2 linked regions of the Sus scrofa genome follow. The protein of the gene in region 1 binds, or shares a complex with, the protein of each later gene. Links are inferred from orthologs where the notes say so. Each region holds a gene or a part of one and is shown in the gene's direction. Other genes may lie near its edges. The genes, in order: POLE2 and POLE4.

Region 1 (7,026 bases):
TATTCAAGATTCCCCAAATTGCATTGGGAATAAATAAATAAATAAAATTTTTATTATTTCACACAGTTCCCATAGGTAGGGAATTTAGAAACAGCCCAGCTGGATGGTTCAGAGTGGTCTCTCATGAGTTTGAAGTCAAAATATTGGACAGAATTGTGATTCTCCAAAGACTTCACCAGGCCTGGAAGATCTGTTTCTTTTCTTTCTCTCTCCCTCTTTCTTTCTTTCCTTTTTTCTTTCGTTTTCTTGGTGTGTTTTTTTTTTTTTTTTTTTTTTGGTGTTTTTAGGGCCTCACCTATGGCGTATGGAGGTTCCTAAGCTGGGGATTGAATCAGAACTGTATCTGCTGACCTAGGCCACAGCCACAGCAGTGTGAGATCTAAGCCTCGTCTGCGACCTACACCAAGCTCATGGCAATGTGAGATCCTTAACTCACTGAGCGAAGGGATCAAACTTGCATTCTCATGGATACTAGGCAGATTCATTTTGCTGAGCCATGCAGGGAACTCCCTGGGAGATCTGTTTTGGAAATTGCTCACAAACACTGACATGTGGATGGAAAGCTGGTGCTGGATATTGGCAGGAGGCCTCCATTTCTTAACACATGGACCTTTCTAAGAATTGCTTGAGGGCAGCTGGCTTCCCCAAGAGAATATTTGGTGATTTTGCTGTTTAAGGTGGATGCCAAGCATAGTGCTGAAATACTTTCTAGTTTTCAAAGCATTAGCAGGCTGTAAGAAAACACGTGTGCTAGATAAACTTCCATCAGGCAGGAATTGTAGTGCTGCTGGCTCTGAGTTCAGTGTTAACGAATCAACAATATATAATTAAAGATGTCTTTCAACAGAAACACACATAAAACAAGAGTATTATTAATCAGTCAATGAAAAGTTTGTGGCCAGAGGCTCAGAGGAAACTTACCCTGTATTTCTCGTAGGAGCAATGATTGAGTATTTGCTAATTCAGTATTAGTAAATACTAATACTGCCTTGAATATAATCGCCTTGAATAATGAAAATCAGCTGTATATTTATCTATTTTTATTTCCTTTCTTACATTAAAGTTCAAATTTTTTTTGCAGGTTTTTAAAATTTTTGGAATGTATTTCACCGTGAATATACAGAGAACTATGTTCAGAAGTCACTTTTCTCTGTTATGTTGCATTACCAATACAGGTATATTGGTTTTGGTCTGCTTGCAGTTTTGTTTGCTCTTTTTCTTTTCTCTTTTTTGAAACTGTAAAACATAAACATGGCTTGACAGTCAATATTCTGACTACAAAGAAAGGTCTCTCTTCCTCCTTATCTCCTTCAGCCTTTAATGGTTAACCTTTTTTGTGTGTGTCCAGTGTAATCTTTCAGAGGTTTTTTAAAAATACAAAGTCAAATAAATATGTATATATATTCTTATTTCCTCTCCTTTACCATACTTTACTCTTTGTTATTGATTTTATCCAGACACCCTGGAGGTCATGGCATATCATTTCTTAGAAAGCATCCTCACGGTTTTTTAAGACTGTGTGTTCACGTAGAAGCACTGCATGGTTTTATTCAAATCTTCGGAGCAAGAGTTTTGAAGAGTGGCAGATTAACAGTCCACTTGCTGGAATCAGAATCAGTTAAAATCCTGGCTCTACCACTTACTTACTAAATCTTTCATCTTGAACGAGCCATCCACCATCTTTGAGTCTCACATTCCCCACTGTAAAATGAGGATGTTGAAAAAATAGCACACAACTCATTCGGCTTTATGAACATGACATTAATTCATTTAAAGCGCTTATTGTAGTGCATGACGCATAGAAAGTCTGCAACTGCAATTAAAAGCGGGATGGGTGAAAATGATGGTGATGCGTAGCAACTTCGAGTGAATGTCGGGGAAAGCCCTGTGGTGACACAGAGTATTTCCAGGGCCTGTGTGAAGCAGAGAACGTAAGTGCACAAGAGCCCTGGGTCCGGGATGAGCCTGATCCGAGTCAAGGAAGGTGGAGGGCAGCGATGATAGAGCACTGATTAGCTCAATGAAGCATTTAATATAGGGGAAGTCCATTCCCAACCAGACACTAGGGAAGGAAGCTCTCGCTCGTCAGTTTCGAGCAACAAAGCACCGCAGGGACTTCTTCTCCTGCAGCCCAGACCCTGCGAAGCTTCAGCCAGCCTGCACGCGAAGCTGCCAAAATCTTCGCACTAAGGTCGGAGCAGCAGCTGTCGGGACCTGTGCGTCCGGGGCGGGGCCAGGGCGGAGCGCGCCCGGGAAGGGGCGGGGTTGCGGCCGTGGCGCCAAAACGCGAACATGGCGCCGGATCGGTTGCGGAGCCGGGCTCTCTCTGCCTTTAAGCTCCGCGGCTTGCTGCTCCGGGGGTAAGTCGGCAGGGCAGCTGGCGAGGCGAGAGGGGAGAGCCTGAGCCAGGAAGCCCGGCCAGGCGGCGTGGCAGCGGGATGCACCGCGCGCGGAGAGGGGGTTTGGCCTTAAAATGATAGAGACCCTTCAAGGGTTCTAAGAAGGGAAGAGGATCTGGCGATGCCTTAGGTTTCCCCAACGTTCATACGGAGTGAAAAGTTTCTCCCGAAAGAAATGAGGCTTTCCTGCACGTGTCAAGCAGCCGGAGAAGCAGTGATCGGTGCCGCAGCAGCGGTGCACCAGCAGGGTGCTTGGGCACCTCTCAGCCCCCTTTAGGGCTCCGCCAAATAGGAATCCTTAACCGTGCTGCTTCACCTAGTTACTGAGACAGCGAATGAGAGACCTGGGAAAGCCCATTGCATTTCGGTAGCTGTCAGGTTATACTGTAGCAATTGTGGGCTCTGCCAGCCTTCCTAATTTTGGATCGGGTATTATTCTTGAGAGAGAATTCCTGGAGAGTTAAGAAACGGGTAGGTTTGAAGCGTGTTTCTAGGTATCCTTGGCCTTTTTAAAAAAATTCTTTTAGAATTTCTCTGATAGGTTTCCTGACCATATCTGTGTTTTCTATTAGTTATAGAATGAACCCTCCCAAGGTATCAGGTTTTGATTGCTCTTGTGTGTGTAGCGGTTTTTTGGGTTGCTTTTGTAATGATGAGTTTTATGGGACTTTTAACCTTGCTTTTGGGTTAGTGGTGAACAAGGGTAAGAATCGATATGCTCTAGGAGAGAATAATGAATTTTGTTTAGTTGATCCCTGACATTTTGAAAATGTGAGCACTTGCTCAGTTAATTTTTCTTTCTTTTCACTTAGAATTTGACCTGATATTGAACTGTCATTCATTAGTTCAGTCAGAAAGAGACTGAAATCTATTAGCTGCGAAGTACTATTGGGGCAAGGGAGTAGGAATAAGACACAGCAGACCTTGGGGGCAGATAGTATGTTAATTGTCTATTGCTGCATAACTAATTACCCCCAAATTTAGAACTTTAAAATGTCATGAGTGACAGAACATTGTAAATCAACTATAATAAATTAATATAATAAAATAATTTAAAAATAAAATCTCGTGCGCTTATAGTCCTTCATTTTCCATGGGTCAGGAATTCAGGTGGGCTTAGCTAGGTCCTCAGCTTCAGAGTCTCATGTAAGGCTGCACGGTCAAGATGGGATCATCTCAGATGTCCGTTGGGCAGTTTGCTTCCAAGCTCATTCAGTGATTGGCAGGATTCAGTTCATCCAGGATTGTTGGACTGAGGGCTTCAGTCTTTGTGAGCTACTGGGCCTCCCCAGCATGGCATCTTACTTCATCAAAGCCAGCAAGAGAGTCAGCTATAAGTGGAAGTCAAATCTTTTGTAACCTAAGCAAGAAGGTGACATCTTGTCGCTTTAAATTTTTATTTTTAGAACTACAATACAGTAAACTATTCTATCATGTTTGCTATATTCTATTGTTAGAAGCAAGTCACTAGGTCCAGCCCACACTCATGGAAAGGTGATTGCACAAGGATATGAGTACTAGGTGGTATGGATTATTAAGGATCTTCTTAGAAGTCTATCTACTATAGATATCAAATAATTCATAATTACTTACTTTCAATCGTGAAAGGATCCGAGGAAGGGAAAGCTATGATAGTATATAGCCAGGTGTGTAAATAGTTCTAGAGTCAAGGAATACTTCATTAAAGAATGGTTTGAGCCAAGTGTTAAAGGATAAGCAGGACTTGTTGACTAGGTGAAGAATGGGGAGGGGGCGGTGGTGGTGAGGAATGACTGTATAAAGACCCTGAGGTAGGAGAGCACCGAGGCCAGAGACACTGGACAGGCCTAATGAGATTCTGTAGGGCCCAGATCCTATATTACTTTGGTCTGTCCTAAAAACTCTCCTAAGATTCACTCAATATGTGTGTGATTTTAGGGACTCAGGCATCAAATATTTATGGGCCACTTTCAGTGTGCTTAGCGCTCTGCCAAAGGATGACACAGTTCCATTTCTCAAGGAGCATCATCTATAATAAATTGGAGGGATGTGACACCCACATATGAAACAAGAAGCAACCCAAGATATAGGACAGTAAGATAATGTGAAGTGTAAAATTGTGTTCCGCAAATACACAATGGCGTGGATTTAGGTAATTGTTTAAGAAGACAGTGTTTGGGGTTCCCCTTGTGGTACAGCAGAAACAAATCCAACCAGTATCCATGAGGATGCACGTTTGATCCCTGGCCTCCTTCAATGGCTCAGGGATCTGACGTTGCCGTGAGCTGTGCTGTAGGTTGCAGACGAGGCTTAGATCCCTCGTTGCTGTGGCTATGGTGTAGGCTGGCAGCTGTAGCTCTGATTTGACCCCTAGTCCAGGAACTTCCGTGTGCCACAGTTGCAGCCCTAAAAAGACCAAAAAAAAAAAAAAAAAAAAAAAAAGGCAGTGTTCAATCTGAGTATTATTGGAATTAAAATTAGAAGTTCATTTGATTTTTAAAAAGCTGGAGTTCCCGTCGTGGCACAGTGGTTAACGAATCCGACTAGGAACCATGAGGTTGCGGGTTCGGTCCCTGCCCTTGCTCAGTGGGTTGACGATCTGGCGTTGCCGTGAGCTGTGGTGTAGGTCACAGACGTGGCTCGGATCCCGCGTTGCTGTGGCTCTGGCATAGGCCGGCGGCTACAGCTCCGATTCAACCCCTAGCCTGGGAACTTCCATATGCCGCAGGAGCGGCCCCAGAAATAGCAAAAAGACAAAAAAAAAAAAAAAAAAGTTGCAGCTTTATTTACTTTGTGAGTGGGAGATGGGAGGGATTCATGTGATTTTGATGGGTATTATTACTTCTATGACTATATTCAAAGGTCAGAGTTTTTTCTAGCATCATTTTTTTTCTGATTTTACAATTGAAAACAAAAGTGGGAGTTCCCGTCGTGGCGCAGTGGTTAACGAATCCGACTAGGAACCATGAGGTTGCGGGTTCGATCCCTGCCCTCGCTCAGTGGGTTAACGATCCGGCGTTGCCGTGAGCTGTGGTGTAGGTTGCAGATGCGGCTCGGATCCCGCGTTGCTGTGGCTCTGGCGTAGGCCGGTGGCTACAGCTCCGATTCAACCCCTAGCCTGGGAACCTCCATATGCCGTGGGAGCGGCCCAAGAAATAGCAACAACAACAACAACAACAACAAAAAAAGACAAAAGACAAAAAAAAAAAAAAAAAAAAAAAAAGAAAACAAAAGTGAAATTACTAGAATTTAAGTAAATTCATTATCAAATTAATAAATATATATTTAAGTGCCTGTTATGTTCAGTACATTGAAGCCAAATGAGTTCTGCCTTAAATGTAATGTAAATGGTACAAGGCTAATGTGATGTAGCAGATCGAAGGTACCTATAAGTGAGATTTTTAGTGATTTCAGAAGGAAAGGGAGATTGCAATAGATAAGGCTGGTCGAGGGAGGCTTCTTAGAAGAAGCATGTGATGTGGGGTTTTAAGAACGGTTATATGGGCAGGGTATAGGAGGAAAATTTCATTCAGAAAGCACAAGCAGGAGTTCCCGTCGTGGCGCAGTGGTTAACGAATCCGACTAGGAACCATGGGGTTGCGGGTTCGGTCCTTGCCCTTGCTCAGTGGGTTAACGATCCGGCGTTGCCGTGAGCTGTGGTGTAGGTGGCAGATGTGGCTCGGATCCTGCGTTGCTGTGGCTCTGGCGTAGGCCGGTGGCTACAGCTCCGATTGGACCTGGGAACCTCCATATGCCGTGGGAGCGGCCCAAGAAATAGCAACAACAACAAAAAAGACAAAAGACAAAAAAAAAAAAAAAAGAAAGCACAGGCAAGGAGAGTACTACTTATAGGGAGGAGTGAGTGGACCTTAGTTTCAATCCCAGATTGATGAGTGTTTGCCAGATTTGGGCATAAAACCTTTAGCCTTAATTCCCAAAGATTTGCCTCACCTTTTCTTTCCCTCTCTTCTCAGTGAAGCTATTAAGTACCTCACAGGAGCTCTTCAATCTATCAATGAAGTAGAGCTTGAAGATGCACTGGAAAAGATCATTGATGCAGTTGAAAAGCAACCCTGTGAGTAACATTAAAATTTTTTTTAATGAAAGTATAGTTGATTTACAATGTTCTGCCATCTTCTGCTGTACAGCAAAGCAACCCAGCCATACATACACATACATTCTCTTTCTCGTATTGTCCTCCATCATGCTGCATCACAAGTGATTGGATATAGTTCCCTGTGAACATTTTCTGACAGCTCTTCAATTGATCATATAGTTCTGCATCCTCAGATTTATAGATTTAAGTAAAAGTTGAAGATTCAGTGTTTTAAGATGTCCCTGTGGTATAAGACATACCTCTGGTAGCCTTTGTTGCCAAGGGGTCACCTGCAGTTCTTTTGGAACCCAGAGACTTTTTTACAGTTCTTTCCTTTTGTGGATTCCCCTCTGATTCCTTTATGGTCATTTTTTTTTCCCTCTGCATGCCTATACTTTGTCTTACTTATGTTAGGTACTCTTCAGTGTGTGCAGGGGTGGGGGGTGGAAGAATGAGTGAGCAGGACTAACTTTCCCTTCTTGTTTCAGCCTTTCTTCAGGGATCGGTTTTTTTTGTTTTGTTTTGTTTTTTAATTACTCAAATGAATTTATC
Region 2 (6,898 bases), on another chromosome or scaffold:
TTGAAACTAGGCAGCCTGGGTGAAAACCAGGAATCCCAGCCACTAGACTAGCTAGAAGCTAAATGCAGAATTGCCCTGATTCTTGCCCCTGTTGAAAGCAAGAAGGTGGAGTTCCCACTGTGGCTCAGTGGTTCATGAACCCAACTAGCGTCCATAAGGATGCAGGTTCAATTCCTAGCCTTGCAGAGTGGGTTAAGGATCCTTTGTTGCCGTGAACTGTGGTGTAGGTCATAGACGTAGCTCGGATCTCACGTTGCTGAGACTGTGGTGAAGGCCAGCAGCCACAGCTCCGATTCGACCCCTAGCCTGGGGACCTTCATATACCATGGGTGTGGCCCTAAAAGGACAAAAAGACAAAACAAAACAAAACCAAAACGAAAAAGCAAGAATGGGAGTTCCCGTCGTGGCGCAGTGGTTAACGAATCCGACTAGGAACCATGAGGTTGCGGGTTCGATCCCTGCCCTTGCTCAGCGGGTTAACGATCCGGCGTTGCCGTGAGCTGTGGTGTAGGTTGCAGACGCGGCTCGGATCCTGCGTTGCTGTGGCTGTGGTGTAGGCTGGTGGCTATAGCTCCGATTCGACCCCTAGCCTGGGAACCTCCATATGCCGCAGGAGCGGCCCAAGAAATAGCAAAAAAAAAAAAAAAAAAAAAAAAAGAAAAAGAAAAAGCAAGAATGTTTCAAGGAGGCAAAGACTATAAAGACAGATATAAAGTTTATTGTAGAAACACAGTAGAATATGTGGGAGAGCACACAGAGAACGAGTTTATCTAAGATGGAAGCAAAATACATTAATACACACCCAAAAGAGGAGTGTGGGTGTCCCCCGGAATGAGGAGTGTGCCAGGGAGGCAATTTAAATCACTTATATAGGAAGTTCTTCTGGGTCTTTGTTTTCCTTTGGCCAATTATCTTGTTTTATTTCTCATACCTACTGGACCAGGGCCATCTCAGATATGCATGCATGTTTTTTTTTGTCAAGATGGTTTCCAGAGCAAAGGACTCTGGGATGGTATCAGGACTTATTATGGCCTGGCGCCCCTCCCCTTTTGACTCCTAGGAGGTTTACTGCATATGTGTAATTGGGGAGCTCTCCTTGACCCCCAGAGTGATTGAAGTGGTCATCTTATCTTTCTACTCCAGCAGAGCTCAGCTCTTGCCGTTAACTTTCCCCTTGAGGTGTCAAAAGAAGCAAGTCCCAATTTACGCAGCCCAACAAGTCCCTGCTCTTCTTAGCCCAGGGGGCCATCCACCTCCTATCTCAGACTGAAGATAAGGTGTGATGTGTTTGGGGAATACTGTAACTGAGCAGGACCCCGTGACGCCTTCCCAGAGTGGACCCCCACTCGTGCCCTCCACCTGCTTTTTTATCTACAGAGAAACTTTAGTCAAAGAATCAATTTAATCAGAGAAAGAAAATACAGAGAAAAAGGACAACAGTCAAGCAAGACAGAATAATAGTTTAGCCATTCAACAAAGTCAAAGACCTTTTAATGAATTGTCCTGCAAGGACTATAGATAATATTCTGAGCCATGTCCTTGGAGCTGTTTTGCAGGTGCTGAAGCCCCTACCAGGTGGAAGACTTCGACTGTATGCAGCCCACAAGAATATAGACCCCAGTCTGGTTGGAACCAGAAGGTTAATGACACTGACTCTTAATTATCTCACCACCCACTCATCAAGAAAATGCCCAGGAGCTGATCACGCCCTGCTCCTCAAACACTGTAAGACTCCTCACTACACCCTCCAAGGGAGTACAGGGGGGTCACAGTCCTTGAGTCACTAGCCTGCTGTGTTCCCTCTTTGACTGGCAATTAAAGCTACTTTCTCTGTTTCCTCCAACTCTACACCTTTCTGTTTGGCATTGTGTACAGAGGCAGCTGATATTTCCGGCAACAGTAAGGAGAAGGTGTCCAATAATCACCTTGGTGAGTAGGCAAGTAAGCAGAGCACGGTGACTGCTGGCTGCCTTGATTCTCACTTGAGACTAATGTCAAGACTCCTCTCCAATAAGAGCTTGGTGGGATGGGTGCTTTCTCATGTTCCTTCCGTCCTTGGGCTTTCCACACCAGCCCTGGGAGCCTATGTGTGATTCCTCTATTTTTTAGACTTCTCCTTACTCACTCATAGTCAATCCTGTTAGAGTAACTTTTTTTTTTTTTTTTTGTCTTTATGGGGCCGCACCTGTGGCATATGGAGGTTCCCAGGCTGGGGGTGGAATCAGAGCTATAGCCGCTGACCTACACCAGAGTCACAGCAACACCAGATCTGAGCCGTGTCTGCGACCCACACCACAGCTCATGGCAACGCTGGATCCTTAACTCACTGAGCAAGGCCAGGGATTGAACCTGTGTGTCCTCATGGGTGCTAGTCAGGTTTGTTTCTGCTGTGCCACGACGGGAACTCTTATAGTTTAACTTTTATGTTAAACTTTCTATTCAAATTACTTTCCCTGTTCAAACTCTGTGTAGTTTCCTTTTCCTAATTGGACTGTGATGCAGATGAGGTTTCGTCATGGGAAAGAGGGAAGAATTGTTGAAGCGATGCCCATCATTTACTTCTTTCCCCGCCTACATTTTTATTTCTCCTACTTTACTGTCTCCTCCAGGAGCATATACATTTGTCCAAGTTTCTCCTATATATTTCTATTACTGCTGTTTACTTTTACAATCAAGTTCTCAAAAGAGAGCTCAACTAGGTAGGACATCGCGTGAGATGCAAAGCAAACTGCAAAATCGGACCACCAGACCTCAGAAGCGCTGTGAGGGATAGAAAAGATTAAACGCCAGCCCTCCGCCTCTCTCACGGGATACTCCGCCACGCTGGCCGGTTGGGGGGGGGGCGGAGTCACGAGCCATCAGGGGGCGTGGCTGCCAGTGCGCGCGGGAAAGGGGCCGGCACCGCCTGCGCGCGCACAGTCGGCGGCCGCGCGCAGCACGCCCGGGGCCCGGATGGCGGCCGCGGTGGCGGCGGCAGCTGGAAGTGGGCCTGCCCGGGAAGAGGACAGCTCAGCTGGGGAGGCGGCGGCCCCGCAGCCCCAAGCCCCGACAAGTACGCCTGGGGCTCGTCTCTCGAGGCTACCTCTGGCGCGAGTGAAGGCCTTGGTGAAGGCGGACCCCGACGTGACGCTCGCGGGACAGGAAGCCATCTTCATCCTGGCACGAGCCGCGGTGCGGCGGGGAGCGCCTGGGTCACCTAGTGGGGCGGGGCGGGGCCTCGGGGGCCTTTCGGAAGGGCGGAGCTTAGCTGTATTTGGGGCCAAATTTGAGATGTGAGCGTGGGCAGTAAGAAGGCCATCTGGGGCAGGTTGTGCTGAGGCCCGAGAGGTTAGAGGGGTGCTGGGGCCGGATACTGAGTTGTGAGTATCGGGAGGGAAGACAGAGAAAGGGTCACATGCAGTACTTGTATTGGTTTCGTAGGACCTACCTCTTCCGCGACTTTGATTTGTGTCTCTAGTCTAACTTTATAACTTGTTTCAAGTAAGTGAGTGGGGTGAATCTTCAGAGTGAGGGAGGGACAGACGTGTCTGGACTACAGCAGGAGAGGGGAGGGGAATAGACTTTTATGAAGTCCAGGAGAAATTTCAGCTTCCCTGAGAACCTCCCCGTGCATCTGTGCCCTCTTCCACCCTTGGCCCCCACTCAAACAGGAACAAGCATTTGCACTAGAACTCGTGGATACAACTTTGCTTATTTTCTTTTTTCTTTTCTTTTAATTTTGGTTTGTTTATTACAATTTTTACTTTTTTCCCCTTCTGCTTTTCTTAATAGGAACTGTTTGTGGAGACCATTGCAAAGGATGCCTACTGCTGTGCTCAACAGGGAAAGAGGAAAACCCTTCAGAGGAGAGATTTGGGTAGACTGTCACTTTGGTGTCTTGCATCTGTGGGTACACAAGGGAGGGCTGGGCGAGACTCTCCTTACACTAGTTGAGAAGGCATCACTTTAAGATGAGGGACACCACAGGTCTCTTCCTATGATGTTTTCTGTTGAACTGTCACTGTGCCAGAAGATCGTGCCTCTCGAATGTCTGTTTTGGTTGGCTGGAGTGGTGTTGGGACAGAGAACCAAAAGGAGCCTGGATGTTGCCAAAGCTAACTAGACCCCTTTATTCCTTCTGCTATATTGTACCAGGCTTGTCGTTTTTTTTTTTTTTTTTTTTCCACCTAGAAAGGATAGGTTTGATTTCTGACTCTACTTTTTTCTACTCTAGAATGTGTGTAAATTTTCGTATACCACAATCTCACTTTCCTTGCTCTATAGCCAGACTCTCTTCTCTGATGACTTTCAGAGGAAAGAGGTTCCCCCCAGGGAACAGTATTTACCTAGGCTGTAGAGAGACAGCTGATACGTAGTATTTGGTGGTGGAGAAGATGTAGATCTCAAGATAGCAAGGGACAAATTTTATAAATGCTTATTTGCATAAAGCCTCAGGCCCTTCATTGTGTGTGTTGTGCTCTTGTAAGAGGTTTGATGCCTGTGTCCACAGTTAATCAGGTGTCCCTTTACCTTGTGTTTCAGATAATGCAATAGAAGCTGTGGACGAATTTGCTTTCCTGGAAGGTGAGTTCTCTATCAGGGGGTAGTCCTTTCCACTTGCCTTCTTTCCTTCCTCCTTCCTTCCCTCCTTAATCTCCTTCCCTCTTTATCCCCTTCCCTTCTTTCCTTCCTTTCTTCTTCTTCTTCTTCTTTTCTTTTTTTTAATGGCCACAGCCATGGCATATGGAAGGGATATGGGATTGAATCCAAGCCTCAGCTGTGACCTGCACTGCAGCTGCAGCAAAGCAGGATGCTTTAACCCACTACACCAGACCCAGGGATCTAACCAGCACCTGGGCAGCAACCAGAGCTGATGCAGATTCGTAACTCACTCTGCCACAGCAGGAACGCCTCCACTTGTCTTTCTCATGCTAAAATCTGAGTTCAAAACCTTATGAAATTGATGCCTGGTTCTTCCTTGTTCATGTAGGAGTAATTCTATTTCCTGTTAAGATAGGAAACACAAATTACAATTCAAATTCCTTTGGGTAATTAGAACTTTATGAAAACTGCTAACCATGAACAGTGGGAGGGACTGGAAAGACCCCAGTGGAGTTGGGGGATTTTCAGAAGTTTGTTTCTGACTTTGAGCCCCATCTCTAGATATAAATCTTACCCCTTATCATAATGCTAGAGATCAGAAACAATTGCCAACGTTTAAAGGGTTACCTCTTGTTCTTTTTTCTTCTTCAACAATCTCTCTAAAGTGATGATTTTGCCGCAGTGAGATTCTCTACTGGCCTGTATCTGTTTGTTCTTAAGAATCTTGGATTAACTCATGTGTACTAATTAAATCTTGTCATTGAAATAGAAAATATCTGAAATACCTCATTTTAACTCTCTTTACCTAGAGCTCTCTTCCTGCTGCCCCTAAATCTGATCAGTTTACTCTTCCCTGCATATAGATTGATTGAATAGTTTTGGAAAAGCCATGTACCTTTAGTTTCTCACTTTTAACGACCAGGGTTCTGTTTACCTCCTCAAAGCCTTAATACCTTCACATATCTTTTCTTGAATTTTTTTTTTTAAAGGCTGCACCTGAGGCATATGGAAGTTGCTGGGCTAGGAGTCAAATTAGAGCTGCAGCTGCCCTCGTATGCCACAACCACAGCAACACTGGATCTGAGCTGTGACTGGGACCTACACCACAGCTCACCACAATTGCCAGATCCTTAACCCACTGAGCAAGGCCAGGGACTGAAGCTGCATCCTTGTGGATACTAGTCAGGTTCTTAACCTGCTGAGCCACAGCAGGAACTCATCTTTCCTTGAAGTATTTATTTCACTATTTTTACTCCTTGGTTCTGCATCTATAATCAACTGAGGTCTCTGGCCCTTTTGAGATATTCTTTTAAATGCCTTTTAAGGTACATTCCCATGGTTAGCATTAAGCTTAGATTATTGATTATTCTCTTAATTTGTAGATTTTCTTTTTAAAGCCTCTTTTATGCTTAACTAATTTTTTTTTGGAAATAACTTATTAGCTCCCTACCTAAGGTAGGCAATGTCTTGTGACTGACAGCCTGTCAGTTCCTCAATCAAAAATGTTTGGAGCTTATTCTACCTGTTTATATTTTAATTTTAATTTTTTTTTTTTTGGCTACACCTTTGCCATATGGAAGTTCCCAGGCCAGGGATGAAATCTGAGTTGCACCTTCGACCTATGCCACAGCTGCAGCAATGCCAGTTCCTTAATCCACTGTGCCAGGCCAAGGATCAAACCCAGGCCGCCACCAGAGACAATGCTGGATCTTTAACTACTCTTGTGCCACAGTGGAACCCCTTTACTTTCTATTTAATTATTTTAATTTTAAAATATGGAACACTTTATGAATTTGCCTGTCATCCTTGCTCAGGGGCTGTGCTAATCTTCTCTCTATGGTTCTAATTTTAATATATATGCTGCCAAAGCAAGCACATCTATTTATTTATTTTTATTTACTAACTTCTCGAAGAAATGAGTGATATGATCAAATTTCTATTCAAAGATGTAAACTTACCAACCTATGGAAGTAAATTGGAGGGTCCTGGGAATAAAAGTGGAGAAAAACATAGGAAGTTTTCTGCTTTAGCCTATACCATGCATAGTGCTTGGTTTGGATTTTTTGTTTGTTTGTTTATCTTTGCTGAAACGTTTTATTTTATTTTTTTAAATCTCTGTTATTATTTTTGTTTTTTCCATTATAGCTGGTTTACAGTGTGCTTTCAATTTTCTATTATACACAAGGTGACCCAGTCACACATACATGTATACATTCTTTTTTCTCACATTATCATTCTCCATCATAAGTGAGTATATATAGTTCCCAGTGCTATACGGCAGGATCTCATTGCTTATCCATTCCAAAGACAATCTCTC

The links.
Region 2: POLE2 (region 1) and POLE4 share a complex: the UniProt entries of both Homo sapiens proteins name them as parts of the DNA polymerase epsilon complex. The link is inferred for Sus scrofa from reciprocal best matches to the Homo sapiens genes POLE2 and POLE4.

Annotation. Positions count from the first base shown.
Region 1 is NC_010443.5:179,525,122-179,532,147, reverse strand, and holds the start of POLE2 (DNA polymerase epsilon subunit 2), read left to right. Parts: upstream 1-2,256; 5' UTR 2,257-2,292; coding exon 2,293-2,360; intron 2,361-6,352; coding exon 6,353-6,453; intron 6,454-7,026. UniProt on the Homo sapiens protein: Accessory component of the DNA polymerase epsilon complex. Participates in DNA repair and in chromosomal DNA replication.
Region 2 is NC_010445.4:68,113,307-68,120,204, reverse strand, and holds the start of POLE4 (DNA polymerase epsilon subunit 4), read left to right. Parts: upstream 1-2,896; 5' UTR 2,897-2,952; coding exon 2,953-3,171; intron 3,172-3,771; coding exon 3,772-3,856; intron 3,857-4,521; coding exon 4,522-4,563; intron 4,564-6,898. UniProt on the Homo sapiens protein: Accessory component of the DNA polymerase epsilon complex. Participates in DNA repair and in chromosomal DNA replication.